7 linked regions of the Xenopus tropicalis genome follow. The protein of the gene in region 5 interacts with the protein of the main gene of each other region in a pairwise test. Links are inferred from orthologs where the notes say so. Each region holds a gene or a part of one and is shown on either strand. Other genes may lie near its edges. The genes, in order: sfr1, ccna2, kansl1, smc4, traf3ip1, abi2 and ift20.

Region 1 (2,573 bases), on a different chromosome or scaffold from region 5:
GGTATCAGCTAAAGTATAAGCAGAGACCTTTTAGCAGTCATCAACATAGGTGACCTATTGTCCTCAATGTTCACACTGAAAGTGGGGTAACAATACTGTAACAGCAGTCATGCAGATATTTCACAAGTGTCTAGCTGTATCACCCACACCAGTGGCATTGTGCAGCACCAATGGGGGGACAATTTTAGGTGTAACCCTGCATAATACATTAAAATGTTAGCAAATGATGTTAAACCTCTTCCACAAATAACCTGATACCCATAATACAGCTCCCAAATTAATTCTCCTTAACCTGAAACACAGGTTAACCCATTATGCTTTGTAGAAACCCCACACCTGTGGCCATTAGAAGTTAAATGCTAGGATGCCACTTACACTTTGCTACCCTTGCTGGCAAGTGTTTAATATATTGTAAAATCATTCTGCCATCCCCCTTTATACACCAGTAATCATACGGTACATATAAATAGGTGCTTGATGTAATGATTACAAAGTCAATATGCTCTTTTTTATTTTATTTTTTTTGTTTTTAAATAGAAGCATGAAAGAAATGGTTTTTTTTTTCCTCTTCTATTTCTAACAACTTTTTTGGCACTTAGCCTGTAAGTAAAAACTTGAAATGTAATGTTTACAATTATGTAATATTAGTTATATTACTATGAAAAATATTCTGTTCACATAAATACCAACTATTAACGAAGACAAACAAGTTTCTGTTCTTTGAAGGTGTTCCAGTAGTTCTTTTCTTATTAATAGTGCAGAAAGATGTCACTGATCTGTAAAATCCTCTTCTGTTCTGCTATAGTGCAGCAATTTTTCATCCAGCCCGCAGCTTTCTATTAACTGTGTGAGTGTAACCTTGTTATTCTCGGCTGATAACGCTGCTTGCAGTTCATACAGTAAGAGCTGGCTGCCCTTCCGCCATTTTTCTATTAGAGACTGTAATTCAGACAGATTGTTCTAAAATAGGGAAAATAAAGACTACTATAAATATAGACCATATAGAAAATTGCAGCTGTCTTAACACCTTTATTAGTAATACAAGCATGGGATCTGTTACACAGAAATCACTAGCCAGAAAAGATCTAAAATCCAGCAGTGCTTTCTCCCATAAAGCACAGCCAATGCTTAAACTTAAACATTAAATAAAGCCAATAGGATTGTCTTGCCTCTAATAAGGATATATTATTAATCTAGTGGGGATCAAGTATAAGTTAATGTTTTATTTATTACAGAAGAAAAGGAAATTTAAAATTTTTTGCCTTCCTCTGGATCAACTAGCAGTTAGGCAGGTTATATATAGGTATAAAAGGTTTAACTTGATGCAAAGCCGGCCTTAAGCCAATTGGACCTATTGGGCCCTGAACCAGCGGGAATAAGCACATAACACTGTCCAGCTCATCCCCAACAATGACTGCCCAATAATGCTGCTATGTGTTCTGGGACATTAAACACAAAGTGGGAACTGCATTCATACTGCTACCTCAGGGTACACACTGTATTTGACTTTCTATAGTGTGCTTGAGGGGCCAATAATCATTGTCTCACACTGTATATAGTATGCTTGGTGTGTCAGTGCCCAGTGCTTAGGGGCCAATGGAACAAGAGAAAGACAGGTGAAAAGGCAGGGTTACAGCATCAGACACATGGACAGAGCGAGAGGCAAGGACTATTTGGCCACCCAACCAGGGTTGGACTGGGGGGGTGCAGGGCCCACCGAGGCTGCTGCCCCAGGGGCCCTGCAGGTGCCTGCGCCCGGCCGCATCCCCTACACCCCTGCAGGGGCCCCCACTGAGCCTCCCTTACCCCCCCCCCCAGGGGCCCCTGCTGAGCTTCCCTAACCCCCTCCTGGCATAAAGATAGTACATTTATACAGTAAGGGCAGACCTTAGATCTGTAGAGTTTCGCCATTTTCAATCTCCTCAAAGTATCTTCTTTCTCCTTCACCTTCTTTAGCAGTAACTTTTTTTCTTGAAGCATCTCCTGGTGATGGAAGGAATCCTTGGAATTGATGGGTGAGGAAGCTGCAGATGAAGTCCCGCTACTTAATCTGTGTACATCTTCCACAGATACGAAATTAACGTCTGTTTTTGTAGCATTTAATTCTGAGTCTTTGTGTGATGGCAAATTATTATTGGGACAGTCTGAGGAACTTTCATTTTCTTCACAATCAACTTTGAGTCGTTTTGCCACTGAAAATGCACCATTAAATGACCTTCTGGTTTTTCTGAGCCGTTCCCTTAGTGTTGCACTCATGGGCTAAAAACACAATTGTTGATAGCAAAAGTAATGTGAACAATTCAGACTACAAGGCCAATCAATGTCATCAAGTACTTAACATACGTACATATAACTTTATTTAATAGACGCTACAGAGGTACGCAGCGATGTGCAATATTAAAATATAGAAAAGTACAAACAACAATAATTGCTTCTATCAAAGGCCTGTTGCCCTGTTTCCACCCTAGGATATCCTTTAAAGGAGAAGGAAAGGCTAATAAAGAGATAATCTCAAGATGCAGGCATACCTTCAGTTGTCTCAATAGTGCCCTTAAGTCTCCCCATATTTCACC
Region 2 (2,720 bases), on a different chromosome or scaffold from region 5:
CATGTCATGGAAAGGAATATTAATACTCAAGTTACTCTTACATCCCCCTAAGCAGTTTGTCTCTACATGGAGCTGTGTGCAATAAGCACATACTTTGACAGTTAGGTCAAATAAATTTGCATGCTCCTTTGATTAGACAACCAAACTGACCAGCTTCTGGTGGAAGAGAAGATTGCCAATTCCCAAAAATACAGAAAGTTTATTTACATGAGAAAGCCTATATAAAATTCTCATGTTAGCAATTGTTCCTTTAAAGGGACCTGAGCAAAATAATGTACAGTGCAGGACTGTCAACCAGAATCAAGTGAGGAGGTGGATAGGAAATGTTAAGCTGTCAGAAAGCCATTGTATGAAGTGAATAGTCACATCTGTATAGGTGCATACATACCATGCTTAGGCTTTCCACTTTTGGAGAGACTGGTTGTATTTGGAAGTACTGATTGAGGTACTGTAAGATTGTTGGAGCAGCAAGGTCAAACGACAGAACTTTCAGCACCAAGTGTTCCATCTTGAGAACCTGTTTCTTTGTGTATGTATCATCAGTAATGTAAACAAACTCTGCCACTTCAGGAGGATAGATTTCTTCGAACTTTCTATACAAAACAAAAAGAAGCTATAAAGGCAGTTTGAACCAAGAGTTACCTGGTTATGCCTAAAACAGGATTCCAGGGCATAGTATGAAAGGAACAGTAACATCAAAAAAGTGTTTTAAAGTGATTAAAATATAATGTGCTGTAGCTCTGCAAAAAACTGGTGTTTTTGCTACAGAAAAGCTACTATATAAATAAGCTGCTGTGTAGCCATGGAGGCAGCCATTCAAGCTGGAAAAAAGGCACAGGTTACATAGCAGATAACTAGTAGATAAGCCCTATATAATGGGGGTTTATCTGTTATCTGCTAAGTAACCAGTGCCTTTTCTCCTTTGAATGGCTGCCCCCATGGCTACACAGCAGCTTACTTATATAAACTATAGTAGTCTTTCTGAGGCACACACCAGTTGTAGCAATGCACAGCAACAGTACATTATATTGTAATTACTTTTATACACTTTCATTTTTTGGTGTTACAGCTCTTTTAACACAGTGCACTAACACACAACTGTATATTCACTAAAGCTGTGAAAGCCACTTGAGAAAATATTTAAACTGAAAACCAGAGAGCTGTACATAACTGCCCAGCAGCAAGCTAAATACTTTAAAAAGGATGCAGAATTAAAAAAAAAGTTTTCTTGCCGAGTATCAAGAGTTCAGATTTTGAATGCAGTACAAAATTATAAAACTTTTGTGACAAAGTAGGCAATGGGAATGTGTGTGCGTGCCAATGAAGGATGTTAAAAGACAAACTAAGAAACTGAAAACATTTACAGATGTGGATATAAGCTGCTTTAAATGGGGTTTATAACCCTTCAGAACTCCAATAATTAGCTGTGTAGTTAAAGGGATTCAGTCATTTTTACAGTATATTGTTTTATTTCTAAATTACACCGTTTACATAGCAAATAATTCACTCTACCATTTAACATTTTATTCTTAAGGCAACAAATATATATTTTTGTAGTGGTGATATAGGCAGCCATCTTAGTGCATTGTGCCTGATCCTGAGCTTTCAGAAGAAGCCAGAGCTACACATTAGAACCGCCTTCAGGTAACCTATTGTTTCTCCTACTCCCATTTAATTGGAGGAGTCCCAAGCCAGACTTGGATTTCTTACTATTGAGTGCTATTCTCATATCTACGGGAGCTTCTATCTTACTTGGGGAAGGGGGTGATATCAATCAAACTTGTAGCATAGCAGTAAAGTGTGACAGAAGTTTATCAGAGCACAGGTCACATGGCTGTGGCACACTGGGAAATAAATATGGGTAACTACACTTGAAATTTCAAAATTAAGAAAAAAAAAATGCAGGATTCTGCTGGAGAAGCTCTATTAACCGATGTAGTTTTAGAAGAAAAAAAAAAAAAAAAAAAAAAAACACTTTCCCCCCCATGACAGTACTCATTTAAGAACCTCCATTTAACCATTTCTTATGGCTATTTTATTAAGTGCTATTTCTACTTACGATGCTAAAAGCATTGCAGCGGTTCCAACCAGCTGGAGCTTGCCTCTCAATACGGACATAGATGAAAGAAACCTATCTATATAGTTTACAGCAAGGTACAGGGTTTCGTTTTGCAGCTTATACTCCTCACCAACTTCAACAAGCCAGTCAACAAGAATAGCTCTCATGTTGCCTGTTATGTCCGGTTGTTTTTGCATGTACCCAGACTTTGGTTTACACTTCACCTGCAGAAGACAAAGATGCAGTATTAATAACCAGATTAAAAAAAAAGTTGTAAAAATTGTCACCCATGGACATCAATGCATTTTGCAAATGTTGTTTCGAGAACTTTTTGGCAAAGTGAAATGGGACAGACACGACCATCACTAAACAGCACCAGTAACGGGGAGTAACACCACGCAGGGAAAATTAAATCCATTTCTTTCATGAGGCAGACAAAAATAGCAGTTATAAAACAGGGGTGATGAAAATGCCCATGTGAAACTGCTCTAAAGGGTAAACACTTTAAAGGACAAGGAAAGCCTAATTCAGAGGGGAGGAAGTGGCAAAGGGTTAGGCACCCCCTGTGAATTAAGCCACTAAGTTCTTTCTAAAGCAGCACTAGCATGTTACCCATCTCTACCAGGCATGCCTCTAACTTACACAATAAAAGTAGAATTCC
Region 3 (3,982 bases), on a different chromosome or scaffold from region 5:
TTGTAATAAATTGAAGTTATCTCAAGGAGTCTCAAGTAAATTAAATAGACCTTGAGAGGGTTGTCTTTCTTACATCTAAATTTTATTATTGTTTGCTTCCTACTGTCACACCTCTCCTTCTAATCCTGACCACTGTCCTACATTAGGGGTAGAGTGCTTCTGCCACTGTGACACGACTACAACTCTCAACATGCATTGCAAGCTCAGCTAATTGTTACATTTTGAGATCTGCAATTACAGAATAGCTGGATCACTGACACTTACAAATTCTTGCCCATAATAAAATTCCTCTCCTAATTCATAAATCATCCTCCTCATCCTCCATAATTTTTAGATTCCCTAGGTAATGACCCACTTCATATTCCCTGATAACCAATCCTCTTGTCCTCACATGTGTTGTGGGATTATTATGCATGAAACTGAGACTGTATTATATTACATTTTTTCTGGAGGCATTATATATATGGATTTGGCATGTGTTCTGGGGGCTAAATATATGGATCTGGCATGTGTTTTGGGGGCATTATATATGGAACAGGCATAAGTTCTGAGGGCATTATAAATGGAATTGGCAATGCATTTATCCTACTATGTTTCTGTGATATTTTATGTGAAACAGACATTACAGGTAATCCTGCAAGGTAATCTAAGATGTATTTTAAATTAAATTTCCACAGCATTTTTGTTGCTATGTGTTCTGGGGTATTACACATGGAATTGGCTGTGGGATATCATGAAAGAAGCTGGCAACTGAATTAAAAAAATAAAAAGGGAACAAAGAAAAGCATAATTGCAGAGGAAATAGGATAATTAAAGGTAGAATGGCCAGGTGCTGCCCCATATTTTTTTAATAGTATATGGACTACGTTTTTAAAATTACATGCTCCTCACAAATTAAGCAGGCTGCAGAGGCAGACCAAGCTCTAATGTTAAAGCAGCTGGGAGAAGCATCTAGTAAAAGGCCCCAGGGCATTACCATTTCCAGTGATAGGCTGTGTTGTCAATGATCCCTATCGACTATGGTCAGCAATGAGGACTCCCACACTCACAAATGGTAACAGTGAGGAACAGGGTCTAAGGGATGTTTCTTGTAATATTCAACCATCTGGCTTTACCCATAGACCATCCCTACCATGGATTTTCCAAGACATGAACCACTAACCCTGACTGCTATCTCACCATCCCCTAACTAATCCACTTGTCTGATGTGACCCATGTCCTATGAGCAGGCCCGGACTCGCAGTCTACAGATTCTGGCAAATGCCAGAGGGGCTGGTATAAGATGCCATAGACCACGTGTCAAACACAAGGCATGCGGCCTGAACTGCTGTTATTTTCAAAACATAATTAATGCACGAAGATGGCGTGTGATATGGTGTTTCAGGGTGAGGAAGGATCTATCCTTTAGTAAGATTAAGTATCTTAATAAAAAATTCAGCCCGCAGCTTAGCCTGTGTTTTAGATTTTGGCCCCCTTATGTGATTGAGTTTGACACCCCTGCCATAGACAGTCACTATTTATTGGGATTTTTTGGCCTCTCTGTACATGATATGCCATGGCCTATTTTATATCCCATTCCAGACCTCCTTATGAGAAGTCGAGATAAATAAGTTCATCCAGACCCCAAGAAAGAAAAGAGCAATGCTGGTGAGCTGTAAGGCAAGGAGCAGCATTAGTAAGGCAAAGCTGTGGGTCGTGTTTACTTCAAGAAAGTTACTGTTCCCTTCAGCCATGGGCACCCAGTCTGGATGTGCAGCCTTAGCAATGTGCACTGGATTGCTACCCATTTCTTTTCCCACTACAGATATTTAGGCTAATGGCACAGGACAAGGATTCTGTGTGCCACTGCCTTCCAGTGGAAAAGTGACAGAGGGTAACAAAATGCCTGCCATCTCGCCTACCTCCGTCAGAGGTCCATGGCCTCACATTTGCTTGCACATTTTAATACCGGACATCCGCTATCATCATTTAGAGGCACACTGTATGCTGCTTAGAAGTCATTGCAGTTTGCATTAAAATTATCACTAATTATATAAGATTTATATGTGTTTCATTTCATTTTTATGGTTACCACTCTTTTACTGTAACCCCAGAATAAATGGAGATAAAGGAATTTCTGTAGGACCTGTCCTGTCCTTTCAGTGCTATTAAAGACTCACATTATAAAAGCATGGCGCTTACTCACCATATTATCAGACTGTACCGATTTTCATTTGATCCATGGATCCTTGTTGCCTCATCCCGGCTGTTCCTCGGAGGCATCCTTGTAGCATTGTCTGCCAAAGGCCAGTTTGGGGGGTTCCTCTGCATCATCCATTGATATCTAGGATCACAAATAGTCATATTTTTTCACTCACGCTATCTGATTTAGTTTTTTTTTTTTTTTATTTTGTGGAAATTTTTAATAGGGTGGACTCTGGTAGACAGTGGTATTTGTATGTTCTCCCCTGTATGTATTTAGTATGAGTGAACATATATAGTATAAGTAGTGTCTGCCCTGCATGTGTGGCACAGTGTGGTAGTGTGCACTGGGGCTGTGCTCCCCCCACAGCTGATCCTATAAAGTTCCAGTATCTAGTGTATCTGGCCTGCTGACTGCTAGAGAATACTGGAGAATTCCTCACAGCCCCCTTCATCCCCAACTCTTGCAATGGGCTGTTCCATCTCTGCCCAGCCTCCTCTGGATGCCCAGGGGTGCTCTACCCCCACTCCCACTGCCACCTGGTGCATGAACCCCACACCCCAAGCACCCCTCAGTTTGCACCTACCTGCACAGCTCAACCAGTACTGCTGGCTCCGGTGCCACCCTTTACCCTCCCTTGCAAGCTCCGGATTGGTGAAGGTCCGGAGGAGCTTCGCGCGATTGGTTAATGAGTTGTCCGTCAAGCTGTAAGGGGCGAGGCCCTGTGCGATTACTGTGTCCCTACTGTGTGTCTGGTTGCAGGATATGAATAAGGGGGAGGGGGGCTTTAATGGGACATGGGGAGACCGCTAAAATAGGGACACTTTGCACCATGAGCGCTGAATTAATTGTTTATAAATCTGCAGAGAAGTGACGAGGGAGGGATACTCTATATCCAAAGCTGGAAAGTGGGTTATGGTTTTGGGGGGGCCATGAACCATATCTTTATGTAAAAATTTCCATCCACAAAGAGACTTCAATGCGCAAGAATGTGGGGTCTGTCACACAGCGTCCCAGTTATTCCTAAACTACAGCTCCCAGCATCCTCTGAGAGGAATTGAAGAGCACAAGTGTAATGCCACCATAAGCTCAATGTATGGCAGTTACCAGGAGTAACTTGGTTACCCCCACACCCCATTACTAGTAAATCTCACACTGGCCTGAAGGCTTATATAGCTCAACAAAAGCTTTTGGGACACATATTGGCTATCCCTAGCCTAAAATCTGAAGACAATTTGTTGCCCATGAAATAACATGTGGAAATCACTTCCTGATATCTATGCCACAGATAAAAGCAGAATTTCTTGTACCAAAGCACAGCAGTGACACAAGTGCATATTTATTAAATTTTACCTTTTAGTAGCATATTTGAAATATTTTCCCCTTATAAATATGTCCTTATATAATATACCCCACTATTTGGCTGCCTTAGGTGCCAGAGCCTGTCTGTCCTGTGCTGACTTCACCTCACTTCCATGGTTCAGTCTGTCTCAGTGTTAGGCTTGCAGAAAGGGCATAAGTATAACTAAATGTCACTAGGTTACCCCCCCCCCCCCCATAACTTGAGGTACTTTTCTCCAATATATATTTAAACTGAACATCAGCTAAGCATTTCTGAGCTGGCCTTAAGGCAGCTTACTGGCCCATGTATGTGGCATCCCTGACCAGTGTTGGACTGGCCCACCAGGATACCAGGAAAACTCCCGGTGGGCCCAGGCGTCAGTGGGCCCTCCTGCTCCTGACCATTTGGCCTACTTCATGGTCATTCCCAATTTCTGAATAGGAACAAAGAGGAAAAAT
Region 4 (3,984 bases), on a different chromosome or scaffold from region 5:
CCATCCCGACAGATAAAGAGTTAAAAGTACCTCAGCGATTGGCTGCGGTCCCCCACCCCTTCTAAAGGCCACTGGCTGTCCGCTTGGGTCTCTATTGGGAAACGCCGTGCCTTCCAGCCTGACGCAATGGACACAGATAGCTGGCAGTTTCCCCTAAAGGTTGCACCCGTCAGAGCAAAACGCAACAAAAATCCCCCACATTTCCCATTCGACGTGACATTGACCCTTGTGAGCCCGCTGCACAGACGCTCTAATGAATGCAATGTAACAGTCGGCCAGGAACTCGGACAACCTGCTGCGACACGGTCCCATCAGCCATCCCCCGTACAACAATGGCACAACTTGCTTACCTTGTGTAGGTGCCTCGGCTTGCCCTGCCTGTGCCACACTGACGCTCTCATCCATGGGGCTCTCTGTGGCCTCTCTGGCCACCGCCGTCTTCGTCTTTCTAGGTGGCATGGTGCCCTGGGAATGGAATAAAGAAACCCATGAGAAAGCGCTTAGGGCACACGCTGTTTCACTGGCAACAAAGCAGAGTTAGCGCTTGAACCGGGCCTGTACCATATACTATTAGCGCTACTCACTTTGCTTTGTATGTAAATACCATATCCTATTGAAACTATTCGCTTTACTCTGTATGTAAAGAACACGATCTGCACAGTCCGGTGTAATAAGAAGTCATGTTATTTGAATGCAGATACAGAAGTCAGGGTATTTGTATACAGATTAAAATGAATGGTTTTAACACAGCCAAGTGTATTTAGCGCTGTTTACTTTATTCTGCCAGCAAATAAAATACCCAATACAGCCTAGTGTACTATTAGTACTGTGCACTTCACCCTGTATGCAAAAAAAGGGCAATTTACACGAAAAATAAAAAAAAATATGACATTTTGCTTATTAGGGATTACTAACCTATCCCAGATAGAGCCGTGTGTTACAGCGCTATAATGGCCTATTGTGTATGTAACACAAACTACTTAGCGAAACTATTCATATGGGGGCGATTAGTGAGAGACCCACGGGAGGGACAGACCCACTGATATTCCGAGTCCGTGTGACAGGAAAGGTCTGAGCATCACAAATGGTCTCTGTTGGTAAGTGCTCAGCCGAGCACAAGGCAGCGCTAACTGCACTCCTCTCTTGTATCAATAGAACTAGTACGTGTGGGAGCTGCCACACTGCTCATGCGAAAGTCACACATCCATTAGATCCATCGCTAAAGGCTTTATAGATTTGGGGGGAGATCCGTAACCTCCGAGACGCAAAGGGATTCTACTCGGCCGATACCATGTCGCTTTCATTAGTATGCCGAATCAGTGTAGCTGCCCGAGGGGTGAAGATGAGGAGATATAATAATCCGAGAGAACAGAATGATACATTAGTACAAAGCCATATACATGTGACACCCACCCACTACAATAAACCTTTGCTCTAGTGTCAGTTGACAGTCAGGCATGTCACCCCCCCCCCCCACCTGTTAAACTACATTTCCCAGCACCCACCCTGAATCCTGGCTGACAGTTCCAGAGTCAGTTTAGCAACAGCAGGAGAAGCAAAGGCGAAGACCCCGTTATTGTCAAGCAAAATCAACTGCAAGGAATCGGGGCTAAAACCCATTCTGTATTATCAGTAAAGTCTGTCTGAAAGCGCGGCCCTCCGGCTGCTGTTGTGACATCAATGCTATCCAGCGAGGGTATCCATTCCCGCAGCCTCGCAGCTGCTCACAATCGCCTGTGCCATTATTTCTATATATCAAGCGTCCCACCAGCAGCAGCCCTCCAGCTGTTTGCCGGCATCAGGCTTTGTGGTTGGACAGCTGAGAAGCAGCAGGCTGCACATCCCTCGCAAGATAGGGTTACACGCAATCCTAACTGTGTGGAGAAAATAACGGGAAGTGCCAGTGGGCACCCCTGAGAGAGCCGGGCACTACGTCCCACTGAGAGAGCCGGGCACTACGTCCCACTGAGAGAGCCGGGCACTACGTCCCACTGAGAGAGCCGGGCACTACGTCCCACTGAGAGAGCCGGGCACTACGTCCCACTGAGAGAGCCGGGCACTACATTCCACACACCGGGCAGCGTAGGAACAAGAGAGAATGTCCGCGCCGGCCATCAGGAGAAATAAGTGCCTGTGCCGTGTATGGGGGCAGCGGCGGCTCCTCTGCCTGTCACACCTCTCCAGCCCGCTAAAATTAAAAAATGACAATTTTGGCGGAAAATCACCTGAAAAATCGCTCCAGTCAATCCCCCCTTTCAACAGTGGCTTCCTTGATTTTTTTGCCGATTTTTCGAGCTGTAGCCGAGCGCTGACTGAATGATTTTCGTCTCCCAAACGGCTGTTTTCAAGTTGGGACTGCGCACAGCCCTTCCTCCCTGACTGCTCAGCTACTCCACTCGAAAATGGCGCCCAAAATCCAAACTCGAACCGAAATTCGTTACACGGCGCATGGCATTCTGGGAGCTGACACTCAAGATTTGAAAAAAAATTCAGAGTGCGGATGCCATTTTCATCCAGCAGAAGAAGTAAGCAGAGAGTTACAGTTTATACAAACACATGGTTACACGCGACGAGCGCTTGCTGAGTAACAAAGTTATACTTGCTTCAAAACATATTCATAAGAATTAAATGCATACTTATAGAACAGTTACAACTCAGTTTTTAAGGCGGTTTGGAGGCGGGGCTTGGTTGCGTGGCAACACTAATGGGAGTGCCAGTGTATGAGCTGTCCAAGTGGGAGGGGTGAGGAGAGCTGTCTTTCTTACAGATGTGAGAAGGACGGTGATTGGAGGGTGGAGGACAGTGTGAGCCGCCGAGGTAGCAAAACATCGGCCATCTTTGGTTTTGGCTAGTGCCTGTCATAAAGTACATAAAGTACAGTGGAAAGATACTATTTTACTCTATAATATATTTCCATATTGATATACGCAGTGAAATTAAGATATACAGTATGTAGTTTTAATCGCCTGGCTGAACATTTTGACGTATAAAGAAATGTGAAGTAACCATTAATGATTTTGGGATGGTTTAGTACATTTATGCCCTTGACCCGATACGAGTTGAATAAAAACGTTGCGTCAAAGCTTTCCCTTAATGTGTGAGTATTGTATTTGTTATTACCACATTCAACTATTACAAAGTTGGAAGCTAAAATATCAGTATGTACCTAACCTACGGCTCCCAGTACGTCACTGCGCTAAGCCATAGGCAGAAAGGCAGAGAGCCAATCAGACTAAGTATCGCGAGAAGTAACCATAGCGACCGCCGATAGATACAGAACTGAAGCATCGCCGGAGGAGAAGGCCTGCGTGTGAGCGGAGTACAGCGCAGGTAACGTGCGGATTTGCGCTTGCATGTTTGTAATGTATGCGGTTTTTATATAATAAGTATCCTGCGGCTTGCCAGATCTGTACAATAGGAAGTTTTAATACCGCTCAGGCTATTACGGTGTCTAACATACTATTAGCTGCCTCCGAATTATTTGAAGATGCGTAGATCAAATATATAGTGATCCCAAAGCACGATTTCCTTCAGAAACTACATTCTTATTTTGGGCCTATAGAAGCTACAACTTTAAAGATTCCTGTAAATTCCAACACAAGTAATGCTTTAAGGGCCAGGTGAATAATGCTGCCCGGTGTAACTATCCTCCCTGTGTCGCATGTGTGAGATCTGATCTAAGTAGGTTGTACTTACCCTATTTTTTTTGTCCAGTAGTAATCTAGCTCTAGGTCAGTGCTGCCAAGTTTGTATAGTAATATACAAACCTTCCTCTTTGTGGACCCCATTGATAACAGAGCCATAGTTTCCTGACTTGCCCACAGTGATACTAATGGCCTTCACCTTTTGTATAGCCTTGATCAACCTCCTGCTGTCACCAAAGGGTCTGGAAATATTTTAATATTAACAAAAGTTAGGAGCCCTGCCTTAATTTTAATCCTTCACCTGCTCAGAACTGTGCATGTAGCCCCTTTTTCCAGCCAG
Region 5 (4,251 bases):
CTTTAGGGTTTTATTCACTAGGTTGTAGGTGGTCAGTTATACAGATAGGCACAACAACCAAGGAAACCCAGGAATAACATCTCTTCAATTGATCTGTGTATTGGTGCGGCATTAAGCCGGCCATACATGCACCGATAATATTGTACGAAACCTTGTTTCGTGCGATATTCGGTGCGTGTATGGCTGCTCAAAGAAGCAAACGATATTACAAAAGGCTGCAGATATTGGTCTACTCGTCGATCGGCCAGGTTAAAAGATTTTGATCAGGTGCCTTCAGGTGGAGATAGAATTTCTATTGTTTCAACCTCCATATCTGACGATTCAGCCCTGAACGTCAGTGGAGGGTGGGAACGATCTTTCATGCGACCAATGGTCTCACAAAAGATCAAAATTGATACATGTATGGCCACCTTTAGAAGTTTTTGGGCCAGCCCTCTCATGACTGCTCCTTTGCATCCATGTACCCTGTATGTTGCATTGTGTGCAATTTATCGCAACAGGCTGAACTAGGCACTGGTGCTACATGCAAGTAATTTTTAAGTAAGTGATTAAGACTGCACAAAGCAGCACCTTGCCTTTCTAGATTTGCTCTTATAGCTACTCGTCAGTTTATCTCACATATACCTACAGTACAAAACCTTGGTACTATTATTATATGTTTCTCCAAAATGGCTCCTGTTCTAGGTGATACAGGTATAGGACCCATTATCCAGAATGCTCGGGACCAAGGGTATTCCGGATAACGGGGTCTTTCCGTAATTTGGATCTCCATACCTTAAGTCTACTAAAAAATCAATAAAACATTAATTAAACCCAATAGGATTGTTTTGCATCCAATAAGGATTATATATATCTTAGTTAGGATCAGTTACAAGGTACTGTTTTATTTCCACATAGAAAAAGGAAATCAGTTTTAAAATTCTGAATTATTTGATTAAAATGGAGTCTATGGGAGACAGGCTTTCCGTAATTCGAAGCTTTCTGGATAACGGGTTTCCGGATAAGGGGTCCGATACCTGTATTGTGCAATTACATCTAAAGGCAACTTGGCCACCAGTGCAGAACAGCAAACTGCTGAAAGCTCAAGACTGACCAAATGGGCATGCCTAGTTAGATTTATATATTTATATGCTGTTTAAATGCTTCCTTGTATACCCTGCAACCAAAAGGGAGATTTATTCCTATGATTTTCCTTTTTGTGTACACAGAAAGAAAAAACACCACTGCTTAGATAGAAGGTACTGACCTATTAATCGGTGTAATCGCCCAGATTGTGTTTGTGATTTATTCTCATGTTTATGCCTGGACAGAAACAAGCATATGGGTCTATCTGCAACCAGGCATGAAGCAGGTGCCACAGGACATCTATACACTGCCATAGACTACCCAACGCAGTACATGCTAAAAGCTATAACCTACAACCAGAAAGGGTGTTGGCACAAAGACATTATGGAAAATAGAATGGGAGGCCACACACTAAGGTTTATTAGCCTTTAAATTCCCCAGACCTAGAAATGTCAGATGCAGCCCAATTAACTTCAGATTTCTCTTTTACTGGGCATTCACATAATTTGCCTGGAAACAGGACAAGAAATGTTCTGCACACCACCATGGACTTCTCGGCCACATTGCATTAAAACAGAAGATTCATGTGTATTTCACAGAGACCTGGATTTTTCACCACTGCAAATTATTTCATTTATATTATTGGAGATATTAATATTGCACAGACTCTATGACAGTCAAGTAATGTAAGTAAAACAGTTGTGTGTTTTAGCCTCCTCTCAAGCTATCATGTGGGGATAGAAATATCACACAGTACGGAGGTCCTGGCTAGAGAGCAGTCCCCATAAGATCTGCTCGTTTGGCGATGTCAGGGTAATTTTTTCTATGAATTCTTTAAATTTAGGCACCAATATTTCCATAAAATCAGCCGAACAAAGGAATAAAATGTAAAGCAACACAGTGTAGGTTTGGGAAGATTATGCAGCATGTTACAACTTTGGTCCAACCCAAAGAGCCAGCGATGTGGAAGGAATCCTAGACATTGAAATCTCACACATCCAAGAGATATGGTTTCCTAATCACCCCATAAAGACAGAGTGTAGGTAGTCTGGCAAACTAGGGGGTATGGAGATACAGACAGTAGAGATCTCCAGCATGGCAGTCAGTCAGTAAGTGGCAGATATTGCTAAATAGTGCCCCCCCCCCCCCCCCCAGTAAGTCATGCTGGGGCAGCATATACCCAGTGATACCCAACCTGTAGCCCATCAGCTGCTGCTCCCAACTCTCTGGCTGAAGGTGGAATACATTGCTGAGAGTTGCAGTTTACATGAAGCTGGAGGGCCGCAGGTTGCACATCTATAAAATGTATAGGCAAATTATCGAACAATTATTACAAAGTGCCCATGAACTACCAGGGCCCAGTGAGAATGTACTCTCTGCTCTACCCTAATTCCAGCCCTGACTTGTACAAGAACTACATTTCCCAGCATCCCTTGCCAAAAGAAACAGAAGCCCGTGAGCTCACCTCAGTCAGGATATCATGCAGATAGCGGAACGGAGGTTTTCCCAGTAGTTTTTCGGTAAGAGGAGGTTTGCGAATCACTTTCCCCAGGGTTTCCTGAGTGCGCCCAATAATCGCAGGGTCCATCTCACTGACAAGCTAAACACACGACCCTCAGCTCCCCTAACTTGCAGCCACCACTTCCCTACAAGCGCCAGGCTACAGCCCTCTTCAGCGCCAGGCAACCCTATCTTACCCACAAGCCATTGCGTTCTGACCTCTGCGCATGCGTCGCCTCTCCTGTTACTAAGCGTCCGCTGTCATGGGAACCAACAGTAACAGAGCGCGGGGTGGGGTTCTATTAGGTCATAACACACTATACAAACTCATTGCGTAAACTAGTAAGGTGTGAGGTGCAACGTTCACTAAATGAAATGAAAGCTGAGGGTCTCATTGGGAAACAGAAAGCTGGGTCCTACTCATTTGCACTTTAGCTATAAAGGGTACTGCACTGACTAAAGGATGCCAGGGGTATTGTGCCAGGGGGCGAACGTGTTGCGTTTGTGCTTTCTTTAATCATATGAGGTGCAGTACCATCAGTTACATTACCCTGTAATATGAGGCCCACACATTTGTAACCCAAATGGCAAACTATTCAATTTCACGTAAATAATTTACCATTTATTTCGTTTGTTTTGTTTATATCTGGGTACATTTTTTTATATTTCTCTCTGGCAAGCCAACATTCAGTATTTCTATCTCCAGTCATTGGTATTATCCCCTTCCTACATTTATGAATTGCCATATATCCCAAAGCCTGTTGGCTTTTTTATAATAGTGCAAATTCATGAGATTCAATGAATTTAAGTTGGCAAATGATTTTCTTTTCTACTGCATAGGCGGAGGGTGAGTTTTTTGTTCGGGGAGGCTAAAGATGGGCCATGCATAGACTGACCTACAGCTAATGTGAAACTTAGTGGATTGGCTGTTGATGTAAAAAATGAACCCCCAACTACCTCTTGCCGTTCCCACTGACTTCCAGGGATACTGTGCAAAAGTGCGGATGGGGGTGTATTTTCACCCTAACATGCTTAGGATATAAAAATATTCATACATGCACTTCTGTGAGGGGTTCTCCATCCATTTGTGTTTAGGATCAGTTAGCTTAAATGTGTTTTAGTTAGTTTTATAGTGAGAAAGGCAGTGGGTACTGACATCCCAGGCACATTATATACAGTGAGACCCAGTCTGTATTTACAAAACTATCACCATAAGGCAGGCATATGCTCCCTGTGTTTGCCATTGTGTCTGCCATTGTTCAACTGGTCGTGCCTCAGACAGAATGTAACATAGTAAGTTAGGTTGAAAAAAGAAGTATGTCCATCATGTTCAACCATAATGCCTATATATAACCTGCCTAACTACTAGTTGATCCAGAGGAAGGCAAAAACCCCATCTGAATCCTCTCTAATTTGCAGCAGAGGGGAAAAAATTCCTTCCTGACTCCAAGATGGCAATCGGACCAGTCCCTGGATCAACTTGTACTAAGAGCTATCTCCCATAACCCTGTATTCCCTCACTTGCTAAAAAGCCATCCAACCCTTTCTTAAAGCTATATAATGTATCAGCCAGTACAACTGATTCGGGGAGGGAATTCCAGAACTTCACAGCTCTCACAGTAAAAAATCATTTCCTGAATATTTAAACGGAACCTCCCTTCTTCTAAATGGAGTGGGTGCCCTTGT
Region 6 (3,500 bases), about 6.5 Mb from region 5:
AACCCCTGAGTGGCAAAGTGGCAAGCTATAACCGCACATCGGGCATCATATTGCATGGGACAGATTTGAGGAAGAATCTTGTTTACAAACTTATCTGAAATATATTATTAATCTACTCTAAAATTAATTTGTCTTTTTCAACTGATGATTCTTCATTGTGTTAATTAAAGAACACAAATGCAATGTAACTCCTAAGCGGATACTGAAACCATAAAAAATTATATTATAATTCATATAATATTATATTATTATACATTGTAAAACCTCTTGGATCCACCACCAGCTAGTGAATCTGACTGAGATAAGGTAATACTCAGGTAAAGTAAGGTAGGTTAGACCTGCTTATCTTTTTTTTAGAAAAATATAACCTCAGGAATAGTACAATTCTTCATAAAGCTTTATTCATTATCTTATTTTATTAGTTCCCCACAGGTAGTTTTTCAGCATATATTTATTTAACACACACATTATCTATAGGCAAATATGAGTATAAAGCTGGCCACATGCCTATAGATCCTCTCATTTGGTGAGTAGGGCAGTATCAGGCTAATCCAATAGTTTGTCCCTCAGGCCAACCGTAAGGTCATAACTGCTGGCAATGCAGGCCATCAGGAAAGGGGAGCATTAACATAGGACTACTTTTTGCTCACAGATGATGTAAATTTTCATTTTTCTTAAATCTAAATATGCAATTATTAAGGACAAACTCTTTTATGGAAGATTAAGTTTTTAGGATTCCGTGTCCAGCTGAATGACAATATTGTTTCCATTAACAAAAGCAAGGTAAATTTATACGAAATACAGCGTGGTCAACATTCCCTATGTATAATAATCTCTTAGTACATAATATGTATTTGATCCCCAAAACTTCTTACCTTAAATCTAAGCAACCACTTATTGCACAAATGAAGCAAATGAAAGCAAATTGAAAAGTTAGTTGGTTCTAACAAGAAATGAGAATAAAGAAAACAGAAGCAAGTTACACCTTTGGTACATACACAACATAATGCAAAGCAATGTGTTACAGGCAAAATGTATTATGAACTGTACAAGAAATAGTAAAATGGCATGTTTACTACACACACATAATATTCACTAATACTGAAAACAGTATTTGTATTTGTCCATTTCTAACCTCTGCCCTTTTGGTTCTGAGCCTTAAAACAATGTAGAAGAGGCCAGATGATTAACAAACTGGAAAGCTGTACCCAAGGCATTGTGGGAATCAGAGTCTTGGCTGGAAGAGATATGGCTTCTGCTACACTGTTTAAACAGTTAGAACTAGCAGTGCAGAAAAGGGCAAACACAGCTTTTATTTTTTAACACATTTAAAAATAACTTTAGAACAACTGAAAATCAGAAATGAATGTATACTGTAAAGTTGCTTAGTATTTTCTTCAGGTGGCTGTGGCACTCTGGGAAATGAAGAATATGGCTAGCCCCATGTGAAATTTCAAAATTAAATATTAAAAGAATCTGTTTGTGTTTTTGAAAAACAGATTTCAATGCAGGATTCTGCTGGAGAAGCTCTATTAACTGATGCATTTTGAAAAAAAGCATGTTTTTCCCTGACAGTATTCCTTTAAGTGCCTATTGACAAAGTGATGTGTGTACAGCTAAAGCTGCATAAGTTCACCCAACAAATGCTACTCAAGAATTATTTCGGGTACGGGTATTTTAACAGAAAATAGCCCAGCATGACCAAAAATAAATATCCCACTCACATCAAAATGTATGTGTATGTATGAATGCTGAATAAAGTTAAACTGTGCCCTATGTTTAAGAGATATTAAATCATATACAAAACCCAAAAAGAAATTGTGTATGTTTCTTACAATCATGCAATGTGTGCCAAATTCTCTAGTGTAAGACAAAATGTTTTCCCCTAATTAAAACCCATTATGTATATAGTATACGTTGAACACATACAAACAGGAATATATTTAAGTATAGAATAGAATAGAATTTTTACAAGCATGTTCTACCTTCACTCCATGTCCAGTGTCATCAAGAATTGTGTAATCAATAGGTTTACGAATATAACGGACTGGTCGCTCCAAGTTGGCAGGAGCAATTATTTTGTGTGTTCTAGAGGTGTTTTTGTTGGTCGTCAAAATTCCAATTTCTCTTCTAGCTACTTTTTCTTTATGAATGTCCACAGTCTAAAAACCAGAATAATTACAAATTAAACAGCCTCATTATATATAGCCTCATACAGATGCAATTCACAGTTACCATATACTCCTTTACCCTTAATCACATAGGCATAACAATGATTTCCCTCCCTCAAGCTTTCTCTGAAAGTCATAAGCATATCTGTTCCATGTGTCTGCAAGATGAAGCAGTGCCTCTGGGTGCAGACACAGGAAAGGGAGGATGCAAGTGGAGTGGCTGTTTCTCGGGTCTGCACTTACACACAGGCAGTGAAACAGCCCAGAGCAGCACAAGCCTAAGGGCCCTGATATACGGGGTGCTTAGTCGCCCCATGGAAAATCTCCTCCCACATAAGCAACAAAGCACCTGACAATACCTGCACATTCACATTTGTTGGAATGACCACATATAATATGTGGCTATTCCAATGAATGCAAAGGGGCATATATTGTTGGTGCTTCAACGCCTGCGGGAAAGATCTCGCACTGGATGATGAAGCAACTTGTGTAAGCACCCTAAGGCCAGGGGCACATAGAGTGGTTTGTCCGCAGGTGGAGAAAATGACAATCCGCTCTGTGAGCCCCTGACCTAAGATATAGCAATATGTGACAGATGAAACCAGATAACCATGCCACCCAATGAGTTAAAGAAACAAGATACAAAGAAATAGTCATCTAAATTAGCAGACAACTATATTACAACAATTATAAAAAAAAGTTATTTCTTACCTGTGAAATATGATTGATGGATGACTCCATTCGTCTAAGCTGTGAAGCCTGTATATCCAACATCTGAAGGACATTGTTGGCTAAGGTGTTGATCAGATAAGCCACGCTAGCTAGAGACTGTGTTGTATAGGCTTTGGTTTCTTCTAGGGCTCTCTGCTTGTCTGGAGACTAAGCACATACGAAGACATTAGTGCATCTGTATGATGTAATTCAGTTTTATTAACCAGAGAATGCATCTTGTACATTTAAAATAATATTACATAGAAGTTAAGTAAAAACTGACTCTATAAAACAACCAAAATCAAAGCAAAGCAAGGGTCCAGTGTATGATGAAGGGAAATATCTGCTGCTATAAATGTGTACAAAGACACATTGACAATGCCCTATAGTCAAAAATGAACTTGAATACAGCTTGAATTCCTCTCATGATTACAAAGTACCACAAAAAAATGTTGCGATAACTGCTAATTACCTGATGTTCATCTGTGCGGACATTCTGTTGCATTATCGAAAAGTAGTAGTATAGGTATATACTTGCTCTATGTAGTAAATTTGTGTGTATGTGTGTATTTAGTTTAATGCATGTAAATTTAAGTATGAAGTATATTTTCTTAAACA
Region 7 (4,012 bases), on a different chromosome or scaffold from region 5:
TACTGTAATTCCCTTCCTGGCCAGGCCTCCCCATACTGTTACTGTAATTCCCTTCCTGGCCAGGCCTCCCCATACTGTTACTGTAATTCCCTTCCTGGCCAGGCCTCCCCATACTGTTACTGTAATTCCCTTCCTGGCCAGGCCTCCCCATACTGTTACTGTAATTCCCTTCCTGGCCAGGCCTCCCCATTACTGTTACTGTAATTCCCTTCCTGGCCAGGCCTCCCCATACTGTTACTGTAATTCCCTTCCTGGCCAGGCCTCCCCATACTGCTACTGTAATTCCCTTCCTGGCCAGGGCCTCCCCATACTGCTACTGTAATTCCCTTCCTGGACCAGGCCTCCCCATACTGTTACCTGTAATTCCCTTCCTGGCCAGGCCTCCCCATACTGTTACTGTAATTCCCTTCCTGGCCAGGCCTCCCCATACTGTTACTGTAATTCCCTTCCTGGCCAGGCCTCCCCATACTGTTACTGTAATTCCCTTCCTGGCCAGGCCTCCCCATACTGCTACTGTAATTCCCTTCCTGGCCTCCCCATACTGTTACTGTAATTCCCTTCCTGGCCAGGCCTCCCCATACTGCTACACGCTAATGTGTCGGTCGGTACATGGCCCTGCATGTGAGCCATCCCTCTGTATCATGCTATGGGCGTGTGGCTGATAATAAGCCCCTGTGTGACAGCGCCCCCAGTGGGGCAGTTCCTACAAGCCGTACCTCCGTGCCGCATCCTCTGTCCCACACACACCTGCAGCTACACGGGTTACTACTAACAACACTACATACAGGGCGCTCCGCTTCACTCACTTCCCCACATCTTCCTCCATCTTTTCCACTAGCTGAGGTCACTTCCGCAACTTGTTGCCACAGAAACCGCCCGCACAATCATCTTGGGTCAAGTTAGGCACCGCCCAGCGCCAGGGCATGCTGGGAAATGTAGTAGCAAGCTATACTGACCTACGCCGCAGCTTTACGCATTTTAGGCAATAACAAACTAAACTCCCGGAAACCCATGGCGCTGTCCCTCGGCATTAGTTCCCTGGTCATCGCTTAAACCTCGCTAAAAAGAAGGAATTAATACTAGCGGACATATTTAGTTCTGGATTTACCGGTTAGAAAGTCGTGGGCTTTAACATGACCTTTTTTTATAACTGCAGACTTTTTACTCTCTAAAAATGTGTGTACGCCAGAACAACTATATCTTATGTGAACGCAGTCAGGCACCTGTGGTAATACACCTCCAGTATTAAATATGTTCTCAATTTGCATCATATCGCTTCCAACAGAGATTTAGTCACTTTCCGTGAGGACGATTCGAAGCTCAACTACACAATCAAGTTTCTGGAATAATGTTTTGCCAGTATGCAACATGGCGCCCACATACTCAGCTTCCGCTTTGTCACTATGGAATCTAGATTGTGTCCTAGGAAGTGACGTCTGTAAACAGCAGCGAGTTGTATCCGTGGCAGCTGAAGCCGAAGGGTACCGGGAGGTAAGAGCAGCTGGTGTGGGGCAGTAAATGTGACCGTTCCGGGGACTTTGGGGCTAATGGAATAAAAGGCGATAATTCTGATACTGAGCAAGTTACTCATAGCATCCAGTCTGCAGGTGGCATGTCGTTGTTACAAGCAAACATCTGGTTGCTATGGGTGACAAGCCCTTGGCAAAAATTCCCAAATTCATTGCGCTCCACAGAATTTTCAGCGTTAACAGGGCAGCTTTTGCTGATTGGCAGCTCCACCTTGTGGGACTGGGGTAGGAGACAGTCAGTCAGCAACAGATACAGCGGCATAGTAGCCTGGAACATTCCTACACTAGTATGTGTCTAATAAATAACACAATTATCTTCATTATCAGCTTTATGAGATGTACCTAGTGATTGTATTAGGCTGAGGCTGCTTACAGGGCTAGTGTAGGGCAGGCAGGACAGAGAGGGGCAGTTCTGGGGCACTATGGGGCAAACTGGCCTTTGTGCTCAGAAACCTGCAGCCACTGTGCATAAGGAAATCTCATCCTGTCTGTGCACTTAGTGCATCCATGGCAGGGGAATAAGGTAAGAGTAAGAGGCTTGATGCTATAGGGACACCCATATTTGTGTGAGCATGATGGGATCTCTCTGTTATCCTATTCAGGATAGCCACATAGTGTTCAGGGTCTGAAAGAGATCCATCATCTTTGTCCCTCATCACAAAACCGAAGGCAGCGTTTGTTAATGTTTGTATTTTTTTTTCATGATTCATATTTTCATGTTCTTTTGGTTTTTGTTTTGCATTTTAGTTCTTTCAACAAATGACTAGACACTTGGGGGCACATTTACTTACCCACGAACGGGCCGAATGCGTCCAATTGCGGTTTTTTCGTAATGATCGGTATTTGGCGATTTTTCGGAAAATTATCGCGACTTTTTCGTTGCCATTCCGAATGTTGCGCAAAATCTGGCGATTTTTTCAGAGCGTTAAAACTTAAGCGAAAAGTTGTGCCTTTTTCGTAGCCATTCCGAAAGTTGCGCAAAATGTTGTGATTTTTTCGTAGCGTTCGGATTCATTCAAGCTTCAGTATGGTGACTTTTCTTGGGCCAGGTTGGAGCTGCAGGGTGCCATTGAGTCCTATGGGAGGCTTCCAAAATCTTGCTAAGTCTGAAAGTTTCGCCCGCCGCTTACGAGCGTTCAATACGAAAAAGTCGCGACAAGATACGAGCGAATCTTAATGGCTACAAAAATTCGCGTTTTTCGCGCAAATCGTATTGGTAACGAAAAAGTCGCGACAATTTCCGAAAAGTCGTAAAGGCGCTGAAAAAGTCGCAAAATGTTCATTTTCCAATCTGAATTTTTCCAATTCGAATTCGTGTCTTAGTAAATCAGCCCCTTGGTTTTAGTGGAAATGAGTTTTTTCATGGTTTTTAGAAACCTCTAAAACCATGAATTTTAGAGTAATATAGTAAATTGCAAATGTGCCCCAGCATTTTGTGCCAGTGTGTGGTATTCCCTGTTACATCACACAATCATTACTAAGATGGGGGTTTTTCCATGCTCTGTACTGCTAAAGACATAGTAAAGCAGCCCTCTCAAATTTCTGAACAGACAATAAAAACATGTTTATTTGTACCACTTTTGTAATCAGCCCCTTTGACCTAGAAACATCAGATTTTGGGGCTAACTTTCTGTATAGATGCTTTATAGGCTCAGGTTAAAAGGCTGAAGTTCATTGATAGCAGCATCTCATGTGTAAAAGATGTATTACACTGATAGGTTCTTGAATTTGAAATAAATAAATAGATCTTCTTGATGAGTAAAGCCAAATAGATCTCTCATTTGATGCAGAATAATGGCTTGGGCAGCAGATGCCACTGTTTTTACTGAAATCTATAGATAAGGTGCTTTAATGTATGTGTTACTCCCACTCCTATCAATAAATATCCAGTTAATGAGAATGCCATAGTCCATAACATACTTACAGGTAATTTTCAGGTGGACTACCACTTTAAAGTAAAACGTAACCCCAAATGGCTTCTGTTAATTTCTCTTTTGGCAAAGAGCTACTCTGCAGCTTCCCATAGCCAACAGTTGTTTGTCACATAAATTGAACCCTTCCTCCCTCAATAAGTTACTTTCTAGGTGCTGTCACGACATGAGGATTTTTAAGAGATCTTAAGATGCCCATTTAGTCGCTTGATATATTTTAAGAATACTGTGGTGGGGGTATCTTTTAACATTTGACCAATAAGTCTGCTACCACAACTGTTGTTACTTCTCAGATGTAGAAGGCAACCGCAGGATCGTCATGTGAAAGAACCACAATAATAGCAGGAGTCAGAAGGATAGGTGGTTCTTAAGGGATTTGCCTGGCTGGTGTGAGAGAAGCTGGGGGAAATGAGCAGAATGGGCTGCTCTGATTTCTTGGTGTGGTTGATGACTGCGGGCACCATTCCCTTTATTTATTTATTGGTTTGTGGCAAATCCCTCTGGTGACATCACAGATGACTGGGTTGGGCGTGGTTATATAACTGAAAGCAT

Evidence for each region.
Region 1: the proteins of traf3ip1 (region 5) and sfr1 interact in a two-hybrid assay, tested with the Homo sapiens proteins (2 studies listed by BioGRID and IntAct). The link is inferred for Xenopus tropicalis from reciprocal best matches to the Homo sapiens genes TRAF3IP1 and SFR1.
Region 2: the proteins of traf3ip1 (region 5) and ccna2 interact in a two-hybrid assay, tested with the Homo sapiens proteins (2 studies listed by BioGRID and IntAct). The link is inferred for Xenopus tropicalis from reciprocal best matches to the Homo sapiens genes TRAF3IP1 and CCNA2.
Region 3: the proteins of traf3ip1 (region 5) and kansl1 interact in a two-hybrid assay, tested with the Homo sapiens proteins (2 studies listed by IntAct). The link is inferred for Xenopus tropicalis from reciprocal best matches to the Homo sapiens genes TRAF3IP1 and KANSL1.
Region 4: the proteins of traf3ip1 (region 5) and smc4 interact in a two-hybrid assay, tested with the Homo sapiens proteins (2 studies listed by BioGRID and IntAct). The link is inferred for Xenopus tropicalis from reciprocal best matches to the Homo sapiens genes TRAF3IP1 and SMC4.
Region 6: the proteins of traf3ip1 (region 5) and abi2 interact in a two-hybrid assay, tested with the Homo sapiens proteins (2 studies listed by BioGRID and IntAct). The link is inferred for Xenopus tropicalis from reciprocal best matches to the Homo sapiens genes TRAF3IP1 and ABI2.
Region 7: the proteins of traf3ip1 (region 5) and ift20 interact in a two-hybrid assay, tested with the Homo sapiens proteins (2 studies listed by IntAct). The link is inferred for Xenopus tropicalis from reciprocal best matches to the Homo sapiens genes TRAF3IP1 and IFT20.

Annotation. Positions count from the first base shown.
Region 1 is NC_030683.2:27,807,280-27,809,852, forward strand, and holds the end of sfr1 (swi5-dependent recombination DNA repair protein 1 homolog), read right to left. Parts: exon of another isoform or gene 2,529-2,573; intron 2,260-2,528; coding exon 1,888-2,259; intron 961-1,887; coding exon 769-960; 3' UTR 501-768; downstream 1-500. UniProt on the Homo sapiens protein: Component of the SWI5-SFR1 complex, a complex required for double-strand break repair via homologous recombination. Acts as a transcriptional modulator for ESR1.
Region 2 is NC_030677.2:66,838,343-66,841,062, reverse strand, and holds part of ccna2 (cyclin-A2), read right to left. Parts: intron 2,284-2,720; coding exon 2,060-2,283; intron 594-2,059; coding exon 389-593; intron 1-388. UniProt on the Homo sapiens protein: Cyclin which controls both the G1/S and the G2/M transition phases of the cell cycle. Functions through the formation of specific serine/threonine protein kinase holoenzyme complexes with the cyclin-dependent protein kinases CDK1 or CDK2.
Region 3 is NC_030686.2:17,302,963-17,306,944, forward strand, and holds the start of kansl1 (KAT8 regulatory NSL complex subunit 1), read right to left. Parts: upstream 2,801-3,982; 5' UTR 2,769-2,800; intron 2,324-2,768; 5' UTR 2,186-2,323; intron 1-2,185. UniProt on the Homo sapiens protein: Non-catalytic component of the NSL histone acetyltransferase complex, a multiprotein complex that mediates histone H4 acetylation at 'Lys-5'- and 'Lys-8' (H4K5ac and H4K8ac) at transcription start sites and promotes transcription initiation.
Region 4 is NC_030681.2:114,790,607-114,794,590, forward strand, and holds the start of smc4 (structural maintenance of chromosomes protein 4), read right to left. Parts: upstream 2,801-3,984; 5' UTR 2,226-2,800; intron 466-2,225; 5' UTR 460-465; coding exon 351-459; intron 1-350. UniProt on the Homo sapiens protein: Central component of the condensin complex, a complex required for conversion of interphase chromatin into mitotic-like condense chromosomes.
Region 5 is NC_030685.2:60,708,000-60,712,250, forward strand, and holds the start of traf3ip1 (TRAF3-interacting protein 1), read right to left. Parts: upstream 2,801-4,251; 5' UTR 2,654-2,800; coding exon 2,531-2,653; intron 1-2,530.
Region 6 is NC_030685.2:54,209,841-54,213,340, reverse strand, and holds part of abi2 (abl interactor 2), read right to left. Parts: intron 3,051-3,500; coding exon 2,883-3,050; intron 2,163-2,882; coding exon 1,986-2,162; intron 894-1,985; coding exon of another isoform or gene 876-893; intron 1-875. UniProt on the Homo sapiens protein: Regulator of actin cytoskeleton dynamics underlying cell motility and adhesion. Functions as a component of the WAVE complex, which activates actin nucleating machinery Arp2/3 to drive lamellipodia formation.
Region 7 is NC_030678.2:47,412,886-47,416,897, reverse strand, and holds the start of ift20 (intraflagellar transport protein 20 homolog), read left to right. Parts: upstream 1-1,212; 5' UTR 1,213-1,491; intron 1,492-4,012. UniProt on the Homo sapiens protein: Part of intraflagellar transport (IFT) particles involved in ciliary process assembly. May play a role in the trafficking of ciliary membrane proteins from the Golgi complex to the cilium.